3 linked regions of the Oreochromis niloticus genome follow. The protein of the gene in region 1 binds, or shares a complex with, the protein of each later gene. Links are inferred from orthologs where the notes say so. Each region holds a gene or a part of one and is shown in the gene's direction. Other genes may lie near its edges.

Region 1 (7,746 bases):
GGGCTCAACTTTTTTTTTTACGAATAGTGGCACAAAAATAACGCCACAGTAACCCAGAAAGAGTAATATTTCAAACTCCGCCACTCTGTGCTTCTCTGCCACTGCCTCGTTTGAGTTTTGGACGAAATGGATTCTGAGATATTGCATTTCGTCATTTCGAGCTGATTGGAGACCAGAACAGCCAATCAGATATTTTTGCATCCAAGTCTGTGATTGGCTGGTTTTGTGGCACAAAAATAACGCCATAGGTCACAAAATAAACTTTTAAGATATTTTCATGCGAGAATGGTGCTGTGTAAACTTCAAATATCTGCTTGATTCATCAAGACATCACATATTTCCATAAGTGCTCTAACATTTTCGGAGATGCCTGTTACCTATGGCCTTATTTTTGTCCCACTATTCTGAGCGCACCTAAAAAAAATTTGAGCGCACGTAAAAAAAAAAGTTGAGCCCGTCCCATCTCGATCAAGTGACGAGGACAACGATGTGACCGTTTCAGGAGATGATAAAATATTTCTTAAAACCCCGATAGCTTGCTGAAGAACTCGAGTTTCTTCTCCCCCCTCCATACTGTCAGACACTTGAAAGTGACCCGCGCGTGCTTCTCAGCCAATCACAGCGGTACAGACACCCAGCCTTCCGTTTCCATTAAACTCCTTCCGTTTCCACTATACTCTTTCATTCACATACATTATTCTCTTGCATACATATATTTTCTTCTGACATGTATGCATTCTCTTCTTACATACATATATTATTTGTGAGATTAAATGCATATTGAATGCATGTAAATGAGAGCAAAATGTAGGAATGCATAAATGAAAATGTATGTATGTGAGAGTGAAAATATATATGTGTGTGAAAGAAGAATGTATGTGTGTGAGAGTGAAAATATATGTATGTGAGAGTGAAAATATATGTGTGTGAGAGTGAAAATATATGTATGTGAGAGTGAAAATATATGTGTGTGAGAGTGAAAATATATGTATGTGAGAGTGAAAATATATGTGTGTGAAAGAAGAATGTATGTGTGTGAGAGTGAAAGAATGAATTTTGGCTTGTACGGCCCCTCATACATTTGCCTAATAATTCTGCACTCCCTGTATGTTCTCACAGAAAGCTAAATAAATGCGGAGTGACCTCTTCTCTCGTCATGTTTTGGCTTTGGCACTTTATTCACACTGCCCTTCTTGTTCTTGTGTTTTTCTTGTGTCTTTTCTCCTTCCTGTTTTTCATCCACTTCAGGACACAAAGCCCCTGAATCATCCTGTAATGGGTCACTAAGAAATGAGAGCAGCAGTGGAAAAAATGCAGAGACAAGGAGATTGAGACAGAAATTTCATCAGTGAGGGTATTCATCATATCTAGCCAACTGTCCCGCAGATAAAAAATGCAGACAAAAGGTCATTCCAAAGATATTTACATCCATGTCTCTCTGTCTCCAAACCAAGCTTCTAACACCTGTGATCTGAAGATAAACAGCAGCTAATCTACAATAATTTCCAAAGTCTTTTGTGTTAATTTTGAAAATAAAACCACAAGATGCCAAAAAATTATCTGGAAAAAAACTATAAATCTTCATGTATGCTTCTGATGATTTTTCTGAATAAAGTAAGGAGAGCAAACCTGTGAGCTAAACGGCATCTGAGGCCAAAATGACATTTTCCTATCCGGAAAAACTGGCACACTTTGGCTCCATCCTTGCAACATTCTGCTGACTCTGAAAGACAGGACGCCAGAGGGAGAGACAGAACAAAAGGTTAAAAATAAAAAGAGCCAACATTTAATAAAACTGAACAGAAATCATGCAGTATTTCACCCTTTCTTCTGCATTCAAACTATGTCAGAAAAAAAAATGTAATGGCAGAAGAGATCAACAGGTTTTGTTTAAAGCAGTCCCAAGGCATGTTACAGCATCTTATATGGTCACTCGTAATTTTGGGTACCTGTCTGTGCTACAATAAGCCAGTATTCAAAATAATGTTTTTCGCCATTGGACCACTAGAACCGTAGAGCTGACTTTTACCCCGGCGTCTTGTTCGTTTTCACAGACCAAAAAAGTCAATGTGAGAAACTCGTAATCCTCTGCTAAGATTGCTGCATAATTTATTAGCATAACTGAAATTAGATTTATATTATGAATCTATATTTTTTTTAATTGTAACTGTAAAAATGATGTGCCCCTCTTTAGATCCCCTCTTGCTAAAAAGAGACAGTGTGGCTGTTGTCAGTCTGCAAGTTCACAAGAAATCTGCCAAATTTAGACAGACAACTTTCATTTTAGCTTCTTCCTGATTCAGTTGTGCTTTCTCTTTGCAAAACAAGCCAGGGTTTTACTTCACATTTAACCAATCCACAGAGGTGATGGTGTTTTAATGTTAAAACAAGTGAGTTTCATAAGAAACAACATCACTACCCAAACGTACTTGCTTGCTGACCCTGTGTAACTGGGCCATGGGCTACGCTGAATCCTACAAAAAGTCCAATTTCCAAAAACTGCGAGTTAAAAGATTGTATTTCTTCACATTGATCCCAGCTGTAAAACAGAGGAAATTTACACCCTGTTAGTTTATAGTAGTTTTCATTATCAGTGAAACTATCTTCATCTATCAGATTGTAGTGGCTGTTAAAGTGTTCAGCAAACCAATATGAATGATAAATTAACAATATCAGATAACACATGTGATACTTATACCATACTTTTAGAAGATGTAGTATGTTTCTACTTAAACCAAAATCCATGAAAAATTTCCAAAATTATGTGGTGTAATTCCAACCATAGAAAACTAATGAACAACTATGGCCTCTGGTACAAGTACAAGTTTTAAGTTCATTCTTAAAGTAAAGTGGAAGAAAAAAAATATGAGATCCTGATGAAGTACCTCGGGGCTTTTACTGTATATACATAATACTGAGTGAGTTCTCTTGGATTTTGTTTTTTCTACCTCTACCACCAATGAGCACCTGTCAGATCAGCCATGAGAGCCGTGCAGTACTTTTCTTTCTGTTTTTTGTTCACGTATATTTTAACCGTTTGCTTCTGCGTGTGTTTACATTTGGCTGAGCTTCTGCATCAGTCTATGTCACTCACACAGACATCTGGAAAAAGGATTCCTTATCGTCTGTTCATTTACTAGAAACCCCTCTTATCATTCCCGTTACCATGCTGTGTCATAAATAAATGAGTGAGAAAGAGGCATGGGGAAAATGACGTGTATAGTCCATCTCCAGTCCACTTCCATTGAGTATTATCATATGACAAGTGGCAATGACTCAACTCAGAGGACTCAAATGTCAGCCAAGTATGATGTACATGATGAGGTTGCCTTTACACCCAAATAACACACATCCTGCAATACTATTTAGAGACAGGATGAATGAACGTGACTCATGACACAAATACTTTAATTATTAGCTGTGATTTATTTCTTAGAAAGGGAGATGGTTGTCTGGATCAGCCACAAATTTTGGTAGTTTTTTAACTCTCTCTCAAATTGAATGCCTATAAGTAAATGTCTAAGGATGAAAATTAAACATTACAACTTTGAAATTCTTTAGTATACATAAAGTTAATCCACAGATTAGTCTGCTGAGTTCCGAGTGGGAGCAGAAGCGGGCAGATCAGAGTCAGTCATTTCCTCAAATCCTGAAACATTTCCAGCAAAGCAGAGTGCCCCAGCAGGACGTGAAAAATGTAGGAAACAGTTCATTACAGTACTGGACTCCATCCTTCAGCCCCCCTTCTGATGATAAGAGGCTCCGGCCACGCGATTACAAAACTAAGACCTGGCCAGAACTCCTATTGCCCAGAGTAACACAGACTCACACCACAGACTCAACAATATGATTTATAAGTGGATTACTAGGAAAATAATAAGCTGGTGTAATCATATGAGTCAACCAGCAGGGTTTTACTGTGCATGTCTAATAACAAGATGTGCCTCAAATCACCTTAGAAGCTTTCACAGACTGACTTTAGATTACATATTGTAAGTGTGTGAAACTGATTTACCTCCTTTGGCTTTTGGGGTGTCTTTGCCGCTCTGAGAGTCAGCGGGGACCCCTGCCTGTGGACTCGGTGTGTCAGTCGGGTCGGTGGGGGGAACTCCTGATCCACCTGAAGCCATCCTAAGATCTGAGATTTAGAAGTCAAAAAGATCTGCCGTGTCACTGTGTGTAAGTTATCTCTTTGTTGACCACTTAAGAGTGACACACCTATAAAAAACGTTCATGTTTTAATGCGGAAGTGACGGATTAACGTTGTACAGTGTTAAAAGAGAAGCTAATAAACCAGCTAGTCTGCTAAGATAGTATATTTAAACCATATATACGCTTAGAAATCAACCGGAACATACCTTTTAGTACACAAACCTTCAATGAAAACAGTTCCGACTTTTTTTTTATTCCCCTTTAACCCCTTGTTTGTTATACCAGATTGGGTTATGGGTAATGTAGTTCCACTTTTTCGTTTGCCGAGGAATGCGTCGTTTGTCGTACATAAAGCCTGATATTGGCACACAAAAAAGTTGAAAAACTATTAAATATGTTCGCGTGCTTTCACGTCGCTGGTAAAGTATTAAAGATGTTTTTGATTCGACGGTTAAAACGGAGAAAAATGAGCAGCAGTTGGCAGCCACGCGTCATTTGTGCCCGAGCGCGTGACTCTGCATCATGTGACGAGGTCTGTTTTTGTTGCCTGCTGGCAGCTACACAGAGGACAACAAAAAAGTGTAGAAAGCCTCAGTTAAGATGTTAGGAACGATGGTTTTTTAAAATACGGGCTCGATGAAGATTTGATTTTGTTTCACGGCGCTGTTATTTTTTTTTTTTTAACGGCACGGCTTTTTGAACACTACGTCCAATGAATTCCTCTTTGTGAAGTGTCACCAGTCATTTGTTGAACTTGGTTCTGCACCGAAGGTAAGACAGTCTCATACTGCCAGCTGTACCCGTATTTTAACCCCAGTGTAATCTGGTAACGTCAGTGATTAACCAGAACTAGATGTGGGTGTCATGACTGTGGGTGTTCAGATCTAAATCAGACATCTTTAGAACAGTAAACATATGAAAACTTGTTTTGTTCTTTCAGATGAATGCTCTGGTGGCTCTCTGTCACTTCTGTGAGCTCCATGGCCCTCGGACCCTGTTCTGCACTGAGGCACTACACCCGCCTTCCCCATCCCCTTCATCCCAGGCAGGTGCCCAAGTGCCAGGGGACCGAGATGGTGACCGTGATGGTGAAGGTCTAACCATGAAGGCCAACAGCTCAGCCACACAGAAAGAAATGTGTGAGGTGAGTAGAAGGGGCCTGACTGCGACCTTATCAGATACTTGGATCCCTCGCTTTATTTGTTTCTTCATTAATTTTCAGCCTTAAAGTACTAATTTCCTTTTTTCTTTGTCTCATAGGGTTGCCGATCCTTGCCTGCATCTCACCCGGGCTTTGTTAGCATTGATGATGAAACAGGCATCCGCTTCCTCAGCCACCAGCACCCCAGACAGCCCCAGCTTTTCAGCGTGGTCCGACAGGCTTGTGTACGCAGTCTCAGCTGTGAGGTAATTAGTGACATGTTTACGTGGGTGTTGTCTGTGGGCTTTAATCGGCTGATTACTGATATACTTCTTTATGTTTTCTGTTTGTTTTGGTGTCAGGTCTGTCCCGGACGTGAAGGGCCCATTTTTTTTGGAGATGAGCAACATGGATTTGTGTTCTCACACACCTTCTTTATCAAAGACAGTCTCGCTAGAGGCTTCCAGCGTTGGTACAGTATTGTTATGGTAGCCATGGACAGAATCTACCTTATAAACTCCTGGCCTTTCCTGCTGCGTCACCTCAAGCTTACTATACAGAGTCTGCAGAGCACAGCTCTAAAGGTAGAGCACGTATATAAACATAATAAACTCAGCAGACTTATTTATTAGTGCTTCTGATGTCTTTGGACCATCCTTTCCATTAGGTGTTTGACAATGAACAGGGAGTTTGTCCGCAGCGAGCTGTGAGGATGAACAGTGCATTTTCACCTGCAGTTTTTCCACACCAAAGGAGCGGCAATGCAGCCCGTTCGCTGACTTCTCTCACCCAGCATCCTAACCTGTGGGCCAGCCTGCACTCCTCCTTTAGCTGGTGAGTCATTAGGTTCAAAGAAACTGTTCTTCTTTTTCCAGTCAGTCTCTCACCCGGCTAATGAGTGGTCTCACCTCACTTCCAGGTTACTTAAAGCTTGTGGTAGCCGTCTGACGGAGAAGCTCCTGGAAGGAGCCCCCACCGAGGACACTCTGGTGCTCATAGAGAGACAAACAGGTAGATGTATTGACCTCGATTAAGAGGCGTGATATTTATGTATATACAGTTGTGGTCAGAAGTTTGCTCATCATGAACATGACTCTCATAGTAATTTTGGGCTTTAAATGATTTGGTTGAACTGTTATTTTTCCAGGGTGGAATGACTGTAAAGCATACATCTTTAATGACTTTAAAAAACAAGAACTGAATGTGCAAAATTGAATTTATTTGGGATTTTCTCTAATCCACACAGTGTCAAAAATAAACATACAAACTAAAATATATATATATACGCTCCCTCTAATATTTGGTTTAATGTTCCTTAGGAAGTTGCACCTTAATTGTTCAGTAAGTATCTGGCCTATTTTGAGGGCTGGGTAGTTCACCCATCTTCTTGGCAGAGTTCATTTAGATTTGTTGGTTCATTGAACCAGCTCAGCTTATAAGCATAGTCCACATATTTTCTGAGTGAGGTCAGGGCTTAGGGAAGGTCATTTCAGATGCTTAATGTTTTTTTTCCAGCCTGCTTTATCCCTTCCAAAACCAGGTTTGATGTGTTTAGGATCATTATCCTGTGGGAATACCAACTGCGTGGTCATTATCCCATCCACTTTGTACAACATATTATTTGACTGTCAGTCAAAAGGTCTTCGAGCACAATGCTTGACAATTCAAGGCAGACTTGAGCCTTGATGCTTCCTGGCTCAAGTCTTCCAGCATCAACTGACGGTGACAGTTTGGGCCTTCTTACAGAACCTGGTAAAGTGGTGACATATCTGAATAATTTGTTCTTGCATACAACGGTTTTAACTGATAACCTTGGAATCTGTGTATTTTCTGATCTGTTTGTTAGAATGGATCCAAGAGACCGTCCCAGCTAGTGTAAATCTGCAGTTCTTCTTCTTAGATATTCCCTGAGTTCCTTTGACTTTCTCATTGTTCTAAGTATTGGTTAATCCACCGAGTGCTGTCAAACAAATCTGTTTATGCTGGCAACGAGAGAAAGTTAATAGGCCTTGGCAAGTAAAGACTTTGGCTATAAAATGATTAGGTTCTACAAACTGGTACACCCAATTCTTATTTTTTAAAGTCATTAAAGATGTTGGCTGTGCAATTATTCTACACTGGAACATGAACCGTGTTCCAGGGTAGAAAGATAATCTAACCAGCAAATTCTTGTGGTTTTCTGAGTGAATTACAAGTCCCACTGGTGGGGCTTGGAGGTCCCACAGGTGGGGCTCAGACAACCAGATGAAAAATATGAAATTGCTGAAGTTTTTAAAACAAAATTCAACGTGCATCTTTTTTTTCTTGTTGATGACTGGTTTAAAAAAAATGTGCAGTGTCACCTTGACTCAGCTTCTGAAGTGTGTGTGAAAAAGTTTAAAAACCACTTCTTTTAGATGTGGTTAGGTTCATTTTCTTCTTAAATTAACCTAAACTCATGACAGCATGTCATT
Region 2 (7,422 bases), about 14 Mb from region 1:
GTGCAGCAAAAACCTGAGACTTATATGGTTCAGTTATCAGAAAAATTCTAGGTAAAGGCCACAGACTGACTGATCTTGATAGGTCTTTAAATGTTTGTACAGATTGTGGTGTTTGAGAAGGTGTTCCCTAAAATCCAAGCAGTCATCTGAACAGATTGTTCTCTTCATAAAAACAGGGTTAAAACTGATAAGATTACGGGGCATTTTAGTGCAGATCGAGGATTTGAGTAACTCCAGTGAAGGTAGTGTTTGCAAAGTTTAATGAAAAGCGATACAAGTCTTTTGTTCAGAGAGGGAGGTGGCTGATGACTAAACTTATCACTGACTGGGTGTAGTGCTGTTGACCGAGCTTACTGAGCAGATCTGTTGATAATGATCACCCACGCTTTGAAAATATCGAACTATTTACTGACCTTTTGCACTGTAAGTGAGTCCCTCTATATGGTCTTGGCTGCTTAAATGATCTTTAAATAGATATCTGGCAGTTCAAAGCATGTTGTTTTAAAGACATGTTTATTCAGTAAGATTGAATGACTAAAATCAGTATCTTCAGTGAGAATATACAGAGTAAATTGTCCATAGCAAAAGCAAAATTCTAACAGGAAAAAAAACAAGAATGTTGAAGATCAGGGTGAAAATGATGTCGTAGCTATTTGGGCAGAGAAGAAAAATACAATAAATGTCAGCTCTTACAGGTTTCAGAGAGAACTTGTACCAATAAAATTAAGACCTTATGGTAAAGGTCGCTGTAGTGTGGCAGACTCGTTAGGTTGGCCTTGATTTAGAGTTGATGTTGTAGGAAAGTTGTTCTGACTGGACTCGACTGTTTATTCTTTCAGTTTAATCATCCTTTCTTTGTTCTGTTGATAGGAAAATGAACCCAAGAACAACTTGATTAGGTAAAATGTGTAGTAGCAGAACATGGGCAGGCTTTCTTTGTTCTTCAGATCAGGTGTAGAAGGTCACTACTGTGACAGGAACACCCAAGAATACTTCACCGGTAGAAGCTCGGTTCCTGTCCTCCAAGAAGAGAAATAATGTGTTACTAAAGACATTCAGAGTGATCCCAGTGTTTGTAATTTTCCATGAATATGCAGAAATCCAAACTTTTAGCAGACACTGATTCTGAGAGCACTGTTGATGCTGACCAACCCAAGACTCGTATATTGCTGGATGCAAGCCAAGTCATACAGATTCAAGGAGCAGGTACCAGCTGGACCTCTAATGTGTATTATTATTTAAATCAGGAAAAGAAAAATGTTATGTATATACCAAGATTTTTGTAATCTTATCAGTGTTAGACATGAAATTGTTAGAATCAAGGCTCTACATGTCAAAGTGAGTAATAAATAGGCAAATTAAGGGTCTCTTTAATATTGTAATATTGGTAAACATGGGATAGCAAGCGTGGTAAAAAAAATGCTTAAAATCTGTTATGGGGCATATTTTACAAGTGTGTAACAGGACACTGAAAAGGAAAACAGAGAAAACGGTTAAAACGCCATAAACACATACACATTTATGAGGGTCAAAGACAGCATAAAGGATATTACTGGATAGGACTACTGATGGTCTTCTAATTTTGTTTTCTTTGAAAATTGAATTGAGGTATTCAGTCTAGTGTCAGGGGGACGGTTCATGGGGCAAATGACAGGATACCCTTGGGCAGATTGCAAAGCTCATCAAATAAAAAAACCCACAATTTTCCATGTGTTTTTTCACAAATTTGCATCTGATCTGAAATCTGATATTTTGTGATATTTATATTTATCAGAATATCTGATATTTTGTTTAAAATGTGTTTTAAAAAATTGTATTAAAAAAATTAAAAAATAATTTTCTTAGTGATTTTGCTCCCTCACGACGTCCATCCACTCACTCCCTTTCTCCCAGGCCTTTTTTTAACCTTCACTGACCCTGATGCATGCGTTGTGGTCTGTGTGTGGTATTTACAGTTTTTTGTAATTGGTTTGGCGCAGTTTTCACAAGCAATTGGTACATTTTCAAAACTCTTCGTACTTATATCACAACAGATCATCAAAAGTGCACCTTTTTCAAACATTTCAGCATATTTCCAATTGTGTTAGTACAATACACATAATGACAAAATATCCTTTTCACTACACAAAATAAGTGTTTCATCTAAATAAATGTTTCGTTCACAGTTACTGCCTTTCATAATGTTATCACTACAAAATTTTTGATTTGCATCTCTTATCATTCAGTTTAATACATTTGTCTGTCATTCAATTCAACTGATCTTAATGTTTAATCAATGAATCATTCATTATGTCCATGGATTTTCAACTTGACTGATTGTTGTCTGGTCATTTGTAAGTTACACATGGCTGCAAGAGCTTTCAATCTAGAAATACTAATTGCTAATTGTTTCCCCCCTGATGATCACAATTAGTTACCATATAAGTAGAACTGTGTTTGAGACTTTGCACTGTTCAAATATGGAGCAGGATAGACTCGTAGGGAGAGGAAACCTTCATCGAAGAGGTGGTGGTGCTCCTCGACAGAGAGGTGGTCTTCAGAGAAATGTAGGCAGAAGACAACGCACCATCATCTCTAATGAAGTCCGGGCCATCATTGTTGACCATGTGGTTAACAGAGGCTTTACCATGGCTGAGGCTGCCAGGGTGGTACAGCCTAATTTACAAAGGTCAACTGTCAGCTCTATCATCCAAACTTTTCGCCAAGAAAACCGGTATGTCTGCTATAGCAACTTCACTTCTAAAAAATAGTACCCTATTGTATAGATGAACAACATGTAATTGTCAGTTTACAGTAATGTAATTTGTAATACTTCAATATTGACAGTATATGATTGTCAGAATTAACAGGAGACAACCTGGTGGTGGTCGCCCACGTGTTTTGACTGACCAGCAGGAGTTGGCTGTGGTGGAAATGGTCAGGGCAAGGAATGACATACGGCTGTCTGAAATCAAACAGGCTGTTGAGAACAGCAATGACACCTTTGCCAATGTGCCATCAATTAGCCTTCCAACGATTGCCCGGCTTTTGAAGAAGCACCAGGTTTCCATGAAACAAATTTACTTGGTTCCTTTTGAGAGGAACAATGTCCGGGTGAAACAACTGCGTTCAGAATATATTCAGGTACAACACTAAACTGGCATGCAATTACTGTAACAGGACGCTGCTGTGAATCAGCACAAGTATATTTTCATTGATGAGGCCGGTTTCAATCTGGCAAAAACTAGATGCAGAGGACGTAACCTTATTGGACAAAGGGCTACCATCCAAGTCCCTGGACAACATGGGGGAAACATCTCAATGTGTGCAGCTATATCTGAAGATGGTGTGGTAGGCTGTAGACCAGTTCTAGGGTCATACAACACTGAACACCTGAGAGTGTGTGGGTTTTTTTTTTTTTTTGTTTTGTTTTTGTTTTTTGTTTTTTTTTTAATGAACTGGAGCAGGCCTGTCAGGGAGAAGACATCGTCTATGTTGTTGTGTGGGACAATGTCAGCTTCCACCATGCACAGCTGGTTCAGGAATGGCTTCAAACACATCCTCGCTTCATGACCCTCTATCTTCCACCATATTCCCCTTTCCTCAACCCAATTAAGGAATTCTTCTCTACATGGAGGTGGAAGGTGTATGATCGCCATCCCCATGAGCATGTCTCCCTTCTTCATGTGTGAAGCTTGTGGTGATATAACTGCTGAGCAATGTCAAGCCTGGATTCGTCATGCCAGGACATTTTTCCCACGGTGCCTGAACAACGAAGACATCCACTGTGATGTTGATGAAAATTTATGGCCCAATGTTAATGACCGGCTTGATTAATTGTGTAAAAGTGATAAGAATAAAATAACATAAAAATATATTATGCTTATGTAAATGACTTGTTGTTTTTCTCCCTTTTTCGTGTGTGTGTGTCTGTGTGTATGTATATGCGTGTGTGTGTATATATATATATATATATATATATATATATATATTTTTTATTTTTTTTTATGTCTGAACATAAGTATAATATTTGCTGTGTACAGTTTTACAGTTCAGTTACACTCATTCATCACCAAGGACAATTTGAATCGCTTACCTTGTATTATTTGCTCCTGAATGAAGTGATTGGTAAAAGTACTAAGTTGAAAAAAGAGCTTACTGTTTTGTTTGGGTGATTAAAGCAAATGTTCTCAAAATATATCACAGTGATCATGTGTTCTGATACAATGATTACGTGGAATGTAAATATGTGCAAATGCAATGAAATCATGACATCAGATTTGAAAGAATAACTAGTGGTGTTACAAATGTGAGTTTTGTACTGAGAGATTTAAAAATGCACACTTTAGTTATGAAAATGGTGCCAAACCAATTTTAAAAAAAAACTGTATAAAAGAATTTAGGGGTGAAATAAGGTTTTGAAATACCTACATTTCCCGTGATGCATTGCGATCGGACCCGGAAATGAAAACCGAATCAGCTGACTTGGTTGTGTGTTTCTGAGCAGTTTGGGCACTTTAAAGCTCCTCGTCGCGTCCCGTAAACTGAATAAGTGTTATTATATTTGATCTCTTATATCGGAGGGTGAACAGCCATGTTACGGCCGAAGGCGCTGACGCAGGTTCTCAGCCAGGCGAACACAAACGGAGTCCAGAGCACTCTGTGAGTACGGCGAGCTAGCCGCAAGCTAGCCACATGCTAACTGCTGCTGGAGTTTCAGCGGTGCATTTTTTGACGATTACATATAAATTTAAAGGCAATACACATGTTAAGTCTTCTGAATATTCTCTAAAACTGAATATAACCCCTGCGGGACGAATAAAATGTTATTATATCAAACAGTGTGTATCTTGCATAGAGGAGCTGCTGATGTTTCACAACCAGCACAGTCTGTTTGGAAGTGTTCAACACAAAATTCAAGTTACTTTATTATATAGTCAGTGTGTCTGATCATTATCTCAGTCTCAGTATAATGTCCCAAATAATTGATATAGGTTCATGTCAGGCATTTCCCCCCACAGGGGTTTAATTTCCTTAAGCATAAAATAAACAGTTGTTTGTCAAATTTCCAAAAATAAGTAGGTAAACAATGTTGTCCTAATTTTATATCAAAATAATATACAATTACAAACTACAATAACTGTGTTTATGTAATGGTATATTCCACCAAAGAGGAAAAAGGGCATCAGATATGTACTAAAACGATTTTTTTGTGTGTAAGATAATACAGACTGTGACTATATGTTGATCAGTTGTGTTTACGCGAGTTGGTGTCACCAAAATTCCTCTTTGAAAAAGAAAAAGAAAATCACACCTTTAGAATCAACAACTCGTGCTATTAAAATTGTGCAAGTAGTCATCACTATTTTCTGTCATGAGTTAGTATATGACACCACTTATATATGCTTTTAAAGGGAATAATAATAATTTAAAAAAAACCTTTTGCCACTGCAGGGCTTCTTTATCCTTCAAGCTCCCGGACCTCTACCAGAGGCCTGGGAGCTTTTAGGGTCCTGCACAGTATCTTTGCTGCTCCTAGGACTGTGCTCCTCTGGACAGAGATCTCCGATGTTGTTTCTGGGATCTGCTGGAGCCACTCGCCTAATCGCACCGAGTGCTCTGTTACCACTGGGACCACTGTACATATGGTGTTTTTGTCCTGACTTTCACAGTAGTCCTAAACTACTTAAACAGACTTGCCTAGTAAAATGGTGTAGTAAGAAATCCTATACAAATAAAATACATTTTCGTGTAGTATACACCTTAGTTAGAGTATATATTATGTTTAGTTGATAACTTTGTCTGTGCTCTGAAAGTTATTATATTAATTTAATATTAATCTGCTGGTTATGTGGTTTCTCACCAGCTTACTGAATAATGAAGGCTCACTCCTGGCGTACTCTGGGTACGGGGACACCGACGCTCGAGTGACAGCTGCTATCGCCAGCAACATCTGGGCAGCTTATGACAAGAACGGCCATCAAGCCTTTAATGAAGACAAACTCAAATTCATTCTCATGGATTGTATGGTAAGACATGCTGTTCCCCCATCTTTTATTACTTTTTTTTTCAGGTATATGTGAAAGATTTGTGTGATGTGGGAAAAAGTGGAGCCATCATTAAGTAATAAACTGAGATACTGTGGTCTTCTTGCCTTTAACATTGTCGTTCTCAGGAGGGAAGAGTGGCCATTACTCGTGTCGCCAACCTGCTGCTGTGCATGTACGCCAAAGAAACGGTGGGCTTCGGGATGCTTAAAGCCAAGGTGAGAGTTTAAACTCCTGCCTTTTCATGAGATAATGTTTCATATTCTGAATGTGGATCATCAACAACCGTTACTGTTTCTATTAATGATTTAGGGCCAGGTTTGAAAATACTGGAAATTTACTCATATAAAGTAAAAGTTCTCTTTGTTGTCAATTTGTGAGTTGTTTTTTTAAGTTAAAAAAAAAAAAAGAAATTTAATTAATTTACAATATTTATCAAATCCATAAGTAGTTAATTATATTATTAAGCATCTGAGACAATAACTGATTTCCCATCATGTTTTTTAACTATTTTAAGTGGACTTTACATGCACACTAAGTATTCTAGTCAAATCTAAATGGACAGGAAAAATAGAAACCTTAACATTTTGAATTTGGCAGCCGGCCGGTGTCTGTGACGCAATTGAATCAACAGTTTAATATACTGATTCTGTAACTGACAGTTATTGCCTATCATGCTTTTCGAAAGCCTGTGAAATGTCACTAAATACTTTAATTTTCTCCGACTGGCAGGTTTAAATTCAGTTTACTGTAAAGTTTTAAAAAAATCTTCTTAAATCAGCGTAAACATTGTAATGGTAATAAGCAGCTACTGAAAGTATTAACCTTCTGCTATTGTCAGTGCCTGTGATTGAATATGAATGATCGCTGTACTTTTATGTCGCTTTAAATCATATAAAAGCACTCACATGCAAAAACCAAATAAAGAATAAAGACTCTTATTTTGAGCCTCCAGACCAGCTGAGAATGGATTTAATATTTAAACAGCTGAGGGTAAAGTGTGGCTCATTATTTGTTTGCACATAAATACAAGGAAACAATGAGGATTTTTATTTATTTTTTTTTTAGCTTTTTGTGTTTTTAATTTTACCTCCACTTTACTTCAGAGTTCTTTCACGGAGGCAGAGGATTTCTGCTAATGAAGGAAGTTCAGCAGTTGGATGTAATTTGGCAAAACATGCTTTTAGTTTAACAAACGTCTGACTCAGAAGTAACAGTGAACTAGTCCTTCTTATGAGGAGTTCAGTATGACTGAGCTTTGTTTTTGTTTGTTTTTTTAAGACTCTGTGTCCGTCTTTTTGAATGTGCATCCAGTTTTTCTTTGCCACTTTTCCCAGTCAGCATACCCTTCAGCTAATCTGCTGACACAGCCTCCGGAGGCTAACTAGTCTTGTGT
Region 3 (7,478 bases), on another chromosome or scaffold:
CTGTCAAACCAAAGAGCCCAGTATCTGTAAGTGTGCCCAGATATTTTGTATTCATGTAAGACTAACAGTCACTGATGTCCGTTAATATTTACTAGCTCACAATTATCAGAGTCAGAGACACTTTATTTATCCCCAAGGGGCAATTAAGATAAATGATACCTTGCCGACTGTACATATATGGGTGACAAGAAGAAAATATGAAGGAATCTACGTAGAGAAAAAAAACAAGTGAATGTTGATGCTGAAGCCACAACGAGTCCCCCAATAAACTGGCAAGAAGTTAAAGTGACATGTGCATTTTGTTCTATAGAACACATTAGCAAATCTGGTCACAGTGGTCATACATCAGATTATGTGAGAAAAGAATGAAGAGCAATTATTCAGAAAAATAAGGAAATTAATGTTTGGTTGATGATTTGTTTGTTGTAACAACGCTTCTTGGCGATAAGTCTTATACTCTGTATTTCCCCTTAATGGTGCATTGAGGAGTTGAGTATGTGGGTGAACAACCTGCCAAATTTCTCTGCCAGTGCCAGACAGCTTATTCTGTTATTGATTCTTGTTTGGTGTCTCTTATTGGATTGGATGATTGAAGTCTGAATAAAAAATGCATATTGACAATTTAACAGTGTATTCTTTTAACAGACAGGGGGCTCAGTAGCCTGTGGAAGAACCACAGACACCAGCTTGGTCGCACACTACTGTGTGCTTTCCAGCTGTATAAGATTTATTGCCAAGAAGAATTATTACAGCAAAAAAATCAGCAACCAAAGACAAACTTCACTGAATAGTTTAATAAGTATAAAACAGCATTAGAATCATGTGCTATAACCTTCAGTCACCAGATTAGTTTTATTTACTCCCCCTTTCTATGCTTATTCTTTTCACACAGGCCAACACTGTACACCCCAAATCTACTTTTAGCTTAAGCACACCTGCACTTACTGAAACTACCGGACACAAAGCAACCTTACCTGCCGTTCAGGTGACTGTAGTAGAGGCTCATGAAGGTGATGAAATGTCGGGTAAAGAAGACGAGCAAAGCTTGGCAGTGACTCCGGAAAGCTTCACATTATCTAGCATGGAGACTGACACAACTTTCAGCTCTGGTGACACAGAGGATGAGGACTTTTTGACCTCCGCAACTTCTAACAATCTTCCCTCTCCAGAGATCTTCAGAAGAGAAAACCAGGATGTGTCTGAGTGCATTTGTATGTGTACATTTTTGTATATCCACAGGCACACTTGGTGTCATTTCTCACTTTTTTTTTTGTCTTGATAGTGGAAACCTTCAATTTCTCCATTGGGGAAGACCTGCTGGGTCTCCATCATCACATAAAAAACTCCACTTTGTTGGATGTCAGCCACGCTGAGAGCATACACATGCATCATCCCCCTAACCTTTCTACCATCCTGGGTAATACTGGGAGAAAATCTTAGTCACACTTTAATTTTCTCTCTTTTTTTCAATTCAATAAATTCCACTTAATTGAACAAATGTGTTAAACATATAACTTTAGTCATACTCAGTCATGTTTGGTACGTCTTTTTTTGCAAGCTCCTTAGACTCCATCTGATATTTACATTTAAAATGTTTCTCTTTTAGAAGGAGCAATCAAATTAACATATGATTCAATTAAATACAGTGTTATTTATATGCGTACCCAAACCATAGCCGTGTGTCTGAAAAGGAGTAACTCTGTCTGCAGATGCCTCCACTATTCTTGCTGAAAAGACCTGTGAGATCAGGTAAGTCTTCTCAGTTGAATCTCAGTGTTTAGTACTTGTGGCTCACGCAATTTAACTGCTTCATTCCTTGTTATTTCTTTATCAAGCAACAACAGAGAAGCCGGATCTGATGCTAAAATACAAAATGACTTGTTGAAATCAGGTAAAGGCTCTCATTTCATGAGAAACACATCTTCCTCAAGTAGTATTTGGAGCATGACTATTATTACAAACTACACTTGCCGACCACTTTATTAGGAATGCTTGTTCAACTCCTTATTAAAGCAAATGTATAATCAACCGATCACATAGCATCAGCTATGTGCATTTAGGCATGTAGACATGATCATGATGACCTGCCGAAGTTTAAACCAAGCATCAGAATGGAGAAGAAAGGTGACTTTGAACGTAGCTTGGTTGTTGGTGCCAGACAGGCTGGTGTGAGTATTTTATAAATTGCTGATCTACTGGGATTTTCCCACACATCCATCTTGAGGGTTCACAGGAAATTGTCTAAAACAAATAGGAAATATCCAGTGAGCAGCAGTTCTCTTGGAGAAAATGCTTTGATGCCAGAGGTCAGAGAAAAATGGCCAGACTGCTTTCAACTGATGGGAAGGCAACAGTAACTCAAATAATCAGAGCATTGCAAGCAAGAGGATCTCTAAATGCAGGGCTCACCAACACTGAGTAAGAGAAGATTGGAACAATGTTGCCTGGTCTGATGAGCCTCGAGTTCTTTTGCAGTATTCACAGGCTAGAGTCAGATTTTGGTGTTAACAAAATAAAAGCATGGATCAACCATGCCTTTTTAGCAGCAGTTCAGGCTGCTGGTGGTGGGGGTGGTGTAATGGCATGGAGAATATTTTCCTGGCATATGTGGGCCCCTTAGTACCAACTGAGCATCATTTAAATACCACAATTAAATACCAGATTTCAGTCTAATAGAGCAGCTCTGGAATGTGGTGAAACAGGTGCTTCACATTATTAATATGTAGCCAACAAATCTGCAGCAACTCTGTGATGCTATCATGTCAATATGGGGCAAATTCTTTGAAGAATGTTTCCAGCCCCTTGTTGAAGCCAAGGAATTCGGGCAGTTCTGGAACCAAAAAGGGGCCCACCACTGTACTAGCAAGGTGTACCTAATGAAGTGGCTGGCAAGTGCATATATTTCATGTGTATTTTTAATATCTACTCCACAAAAAAATTATTGTATAATTATTACGACTACTTTTGTGGTTTCTGTCTTAAATTTGCAGACAAAGCCTTGAAGAGGAAAACCCCACCAAGAGTAAGAAGTCATCTGCCCATTTATTTACATCTGTTTAAATTTGATATGATGTAGATCATTTTATTTTGTTAGAAACAAAAGTAAGGGGGATCACGGCCATGATTGAAATGATTTTTACTCCACAGCTCAGCTACAGAAGACCTATCTTGTGTAAGAAGAAGGTTTCATTCAAAAGCCCTGTAATTGCTGAGACCTTTGATGGAAAATGCATCCCAGCCTCAAAGTTAATGACTCACAGTCTCAACAAGCCATTGCAAATGTCCAGCCCACCTGAGGATTTGAAGCCTGATGCAGAGATCGGCTCGGAAGAGGAAACCTTACCTCTGACCATGTTGCTAAAAAGGTCTGTGAAAACTAGCCACAGGGAACCCAAGCTCTTTGACTTTGCCACTGACAAGGAGAGAGATACTCTCTTTCAGGTCATGAGAGAAAGATGTGTGAAACTCAGAAGTGTTACTTTATTTCCCTTCACAGCTGTTTAGTGCACCGAACCATCTTTCCTGCCACATTTAAAGCTAGAATATCGCATGCATAAAACTCCGGCTTTACCCCCTCATCTGGATTAGATTAGTCTAATTGTAAAAAGTCCTATATAAAAATGGTCTGTTAGTATTTAAAAGAAGGAGAGAAGAATCGATGGAACAAACTTTAAATAACATTTAAGTACTAATTAAAGAGACATGCTAGACTGGCGTTTAGGTTAATATGAAAAAAGTGTGATGTGAAATGACCACTAGATGGCACATATGCATTTACCTTGAAAAAACATTGTCTGTCTTGTCCATACAGTGAGCTTTTCCACCTTTAAATATGATATATATGTATATGTGTGTGTGTATATATATGTTTTTTGCTTGTTGTGCTTGTCTATATTTGTATTTATTCTCGTAACATGTGTTACTATAGACTTTCTAAATGAAGAATGATTTAAAAGCAAAGTTTAAATGTATAAGATATGTATTTTAGGTATACTCTTTCCATATTTATGTATATTTGTCTTTGTCCTCAAAATCTGCATATGTATTTGATTCAGAAAGTGTCTAAAGCAAATAAAAATACAATAAAATGCCTGTTGGGGCGATCACTCGTTCTGTGTTTGACGCGTTTCTTACAGTTAATTATTTTCTTAACTGTGTCTTTCGATAATATCTGAAGTGTGTGTGGGTGTGTGTGTGTCAAGCCGTTCAGCAGTCGCACTTAGATACTTTTTTTTTTTAGTGTGAATAAATTTCATGCAGTCACGATTGCCGACAAAACATCAACACAGCAAATCCACTCACCACGTGGTACTTATACCAAAAATATCAGCCAATCGGGTAATTTGTTGTAGCAGCATTGGCGTCCCGTGAGCCAATCAGAATAATGTAGTGGGTTACCAAGCTGCTCCTGTGACTAATGCGTGTCATATGACTGTGACACCCATGGAGACAGTTACAAGGAACAAGATTTGGTCGTGGATTTGAAAAAGGAAAGAGACTTTCTGTACCGAATTCATTTTGGTACAAGATGCCTCCGACTCTCTTTCAGAAACTTTTTAACAAGAGAAATGCGTTTTCGTCGCCGCCCCCGAGGTGTAGCAAAGAGGACCCAGCTTTCAGGTAGCTTATTGTGTGCGTGAGTGTGTGTCCGCCTGTGGTTTGTGTGTAGGGCTGTGCGTGTGTACGTTAATAATATCTATGGCTTTCGCTTTGACGTCTGAAAGGAATGACAGTGTTTTTGGAGCAACGCTTATTTTCAACTCGAGGCACTCAGCAGATGAGCGTTGTGTAGTTTGGCTGATTTGACATCAGTGTTGGAAAGTGTAGAGCGACGTGAGAGACGTGTTGTGCCTTGTTGGTGCGATTAGCTACATGCTAATGCTAGCTGTTGGACGCTAGCGAGGCTGCTGCACGCGCTGTCTTGGTGGGACTTGATTCAGCTCGTTAGCCATCACTTTTTTGCTCATATAAATAATTGTTTATGTCAGCTTATAAGTGAAAAAACGCTTTATTGTCATCCCGAAGATAGTCAAATGGTGCTTGCAAGTTACAGTAGAAGTATCTTGCTTTCTCTTTGTCTCCCCCTTGCTCCCCCCTCCTCTTTCCCCTTTGTGTTTCTGTGGTAACAGCATTGTGGCAAGAAAACGCACGTGACAGTATTGTCGCGGTCTTTTGTAGCTTATCTTTAGCTGCATCCTGATAACTTGGAGCTAAATAGAAGTAGCATCCCTCGGCTTCGCCTCTGTTACTGTACTCTCCACCAGACAACAGAGCAGGACACCGTGTGCTCTTAATGGAAGCACATGTGATCGCTTCAGTCGGCCGCTGATGTATGCCATACCGTGCTGCTGTGTCGGTAGACTGTTGATGCACAGTGTTAATTTTACTGAAATAGCGCTACTTGGCGTCTGAATATCACCTAACATTGCAGTGATGTTAAATAGACAAGTAGCTGAAGTTTACTTAGAAAACCGATGCTTAGAACAAATGCAAGATGGCTTGTAGTGATTATAGTATTTCCTGCACGCGTTGCTTGTGTTCCACATCCACTAAAGCAGATAATCGTGTCATTTCTCATGTAGATATAGAAAACATTTATCATTTCCAAACACCAGTGCTCTTTGATATTTACCCTTTAACGATCTGGTCATGTATTTTAAAAATTAAAGGCAAATTAACGCAGTATTGCTGCGACATGTTGCCCAATGCTGTCAGGCTTGCAACTGGGCATCCTTAGCATATATAATGTTTCCACTCATAATCTTAAAACAAAGTCTTATTTATTTATGGAGTACAAAACCGATGTAAGCTGCATAAGAACTCTAAGGTAACATTCAGCTTGACATGGCAGTGAATCATTGAGCTGAATGGGAGTTGATTTGCAGTCTCCCTGTGTATTTTCTCTCACACACTCAGGGTCAGGTCTGCCACCATTGGAAAAACGTGCTCTAAAGCTTTAAATACACTGGCATTGCAAAATGTTTCTCCCACCTTGTCACTCATGGGGAAGATATTTACCTGAACACGCACCTCCTTGTGGTGCTGCTTGCACTTTGGTCCATGCCTGAGCCAGAGCACGTTCCACTGCCATAAAGGTGCCCTGCACCCAGTGATATAAATGCAATCTGTGTGTGTGTGTGCGTGGAGGGGCGGGGGGCTTTCTGGCATCAATCCCAGAGCAAACAGGCAGGCAGCAGGCTTTTCTGTTAGCTCAGTGGTCAGCTGTGCTCTTCATACCTCTGGCATAAGCTTCCCATTCATCAAGCATGAAATGCTCTAGAGAGGACAGAACTGTGTGGAGACATGGTTGGAGAGGGACACTTGTGTGGTAGCAAGAATAGGCTAAGATGCAGCAGTAGGAGTTTCTGCATAAAAGAAAAATGGCGAAAAGGAAGAAGAAAACATTCAATAGAGGGTCTAAGGGAGGGGAATCTAATGGCACAGGGTGGAACAAATAAGTTGGAGGATGAAGTGGTTAGGAACTGAGCATGCAACATTAAAAGATGGACAGAACAGAGAATATAACGTGACTGCAGTCTACTGACAGAGGTGGCCTGCAGAAATGCTGACGTTAATAGTATTCTGAAGTATTTTTTTTAAAAAGCACTGTGTGAGAACTATACCACGAATAAAGCTGGCTGGGTAGCATGCTGCAGTCAATTTCAATCAAGACATTAAAAGAAAATGACCTTAAAAACCTCTGACAGGTTGGGGGGGATAAGCAACCACAATGTGACACCAGAAATAGCTTTTTTTTTAGTTTGTACATCAGGCTTATTATTAGCATTTTTCAGTGTATTTTTTTTAAAATCCAGAAGAGATGAAGTCTTTCCTGTTTTGCAAACCTCTGGCCTGCCTAATGCATCACCCACACCATGCTCTGCCACACCACTCCACTGTGCCCTCCAGAATACCATAGAGGGCAGCAGGTTGGCTGACCCTGAGAGGAAAGCCTAAAAAGACTCCTGTTTCCCAGGCTGTGGCACCTGACTGGGGATGGCATACTGTACATTACACCAAAAGCCTTTGGCTCATCCTGTAGCCAGTCTGAGACCTGATCATTAGCCAGTAGCTTTGTCCTCCCACTCACACCCAAACTGCTTGTCCTGGCAGCCTGCTGAGGAAACATCCTACATGACCTGCACCAACAGACAATATACGAATAAGAGAGTAAAAGCAGATTTACTCAAGTTTGAAGTTTTCTGTTTACTATATAGATTTGTGGAATTAAAAACTTTTTCTATGGTAAACCAGGACTCACCTGTTTCCTTTTCAAGTTGATATAAAATGGTCATAAGTCTAGAAAATATAATAAAACTTAACTTATAAAACTTATAATAAAATTTAAAATAAATTAAATTAGTACTGTGTAATGTAGATTTAGTAAATCATGTTTGACAAGCTTATTCATTACAGCCTGTGAAAATGCATGACATTGCATTTGCTGGAGTACTACTTTTCTTTTTCTTTTTTTTCAC

Evidence for each region.
Region 2: flcn (region 1) and lamtor2 share a complex: the UniProt entries of both Homo sapiens proteins name them as parts of the lysosomal folliculin complex. The link is inferred for Oreochromis niloticus from reciprocal best matches to the Homo sapiens genes FLCN and LAMTOR2.
Region 3: flcn (region 1) and fnip1 share a complex: the UniProt entries of both Homo sapiens proteins name them as parts of the lysosomal folliculin complex. The link is inferred for Oreochromis niloticus from reciprocal best matches to the Homo sapiens genes FLCN and FNIP1.

The regions. Positions count from the first base shown.
Region 1 is NC_031976.2:22,273,396-22,281,141, reverse strand, and holds the start of flcn (folliculin), read left to right. Parts: upstream 1-4,681; 5' UTR 4,682-4,923; intron 4,924-5,092; coding exon 5,093-5,296; intron 5,297-5,412; coding exon 5,413-5,877; intron 5,878-5,960; coding exon 5,961-6,127; intron 6,128-6,212; coding exon 6,213-6,304; intron 6,305-7,746. Other genes in the region: leng9 (leukocyte receptor cluster member 9), read right to left, coding at 1,144-1,283, 1,630-1,723, 4,016-4,130. UniProt on the Homo sapiens protein: Multi-functional protein, involved in both the cellular response to amino acid availability and in the regulation of glycolysis.
Region 2 is NC_031976.2:35,941,627-35,949,048, forward strand, and holds the start of lamtor2 (ragulator complex protein LAMTOR2), read left to right. Parts: upstream 1-4,421; 5' UTR 4,422-4,573; coding exon 4,574-4,641; intron 4,642-5,845; coding exon 5,846-6,008; intron 6,009-6,154; coding exon 6,155-6,244; intron 6,245-7,422. UniProt on the Homo sapiens protein: As part of the Ragulator complex it is involved in amino acid sensing and activation of mTORC1, a signaling complex promoting cell growth in response to growth factors, energy levels, and amino acids.
Region 3 is NC_031975.2:21,990,889-21,998,366, forward strand, and holds the start of fnip1 (folliculin-interacting protein 1), read left to right. Parts: upstream 1-4,410; 5' UTR 4,411-4,528; coding exon 4,529-4,620; intron 4,621-7,478. Other genes in the region: uncharacterized protein LOC102081985, read left to right, coding at 1-26, 893-1,211, 1,283-1,417, 1,710-1,749, 1,836-1,891, 2,991-3,022, 3,148-3,504. UniProt on the Homo sapiens protein: Binding partner of the GTPase-activating protein FLCN: involved in the cellular response to amino acid availability by regulating the non-canonical mTORC1 signaling cascade controlling the MiT/TFE factors TFEB and TFE3.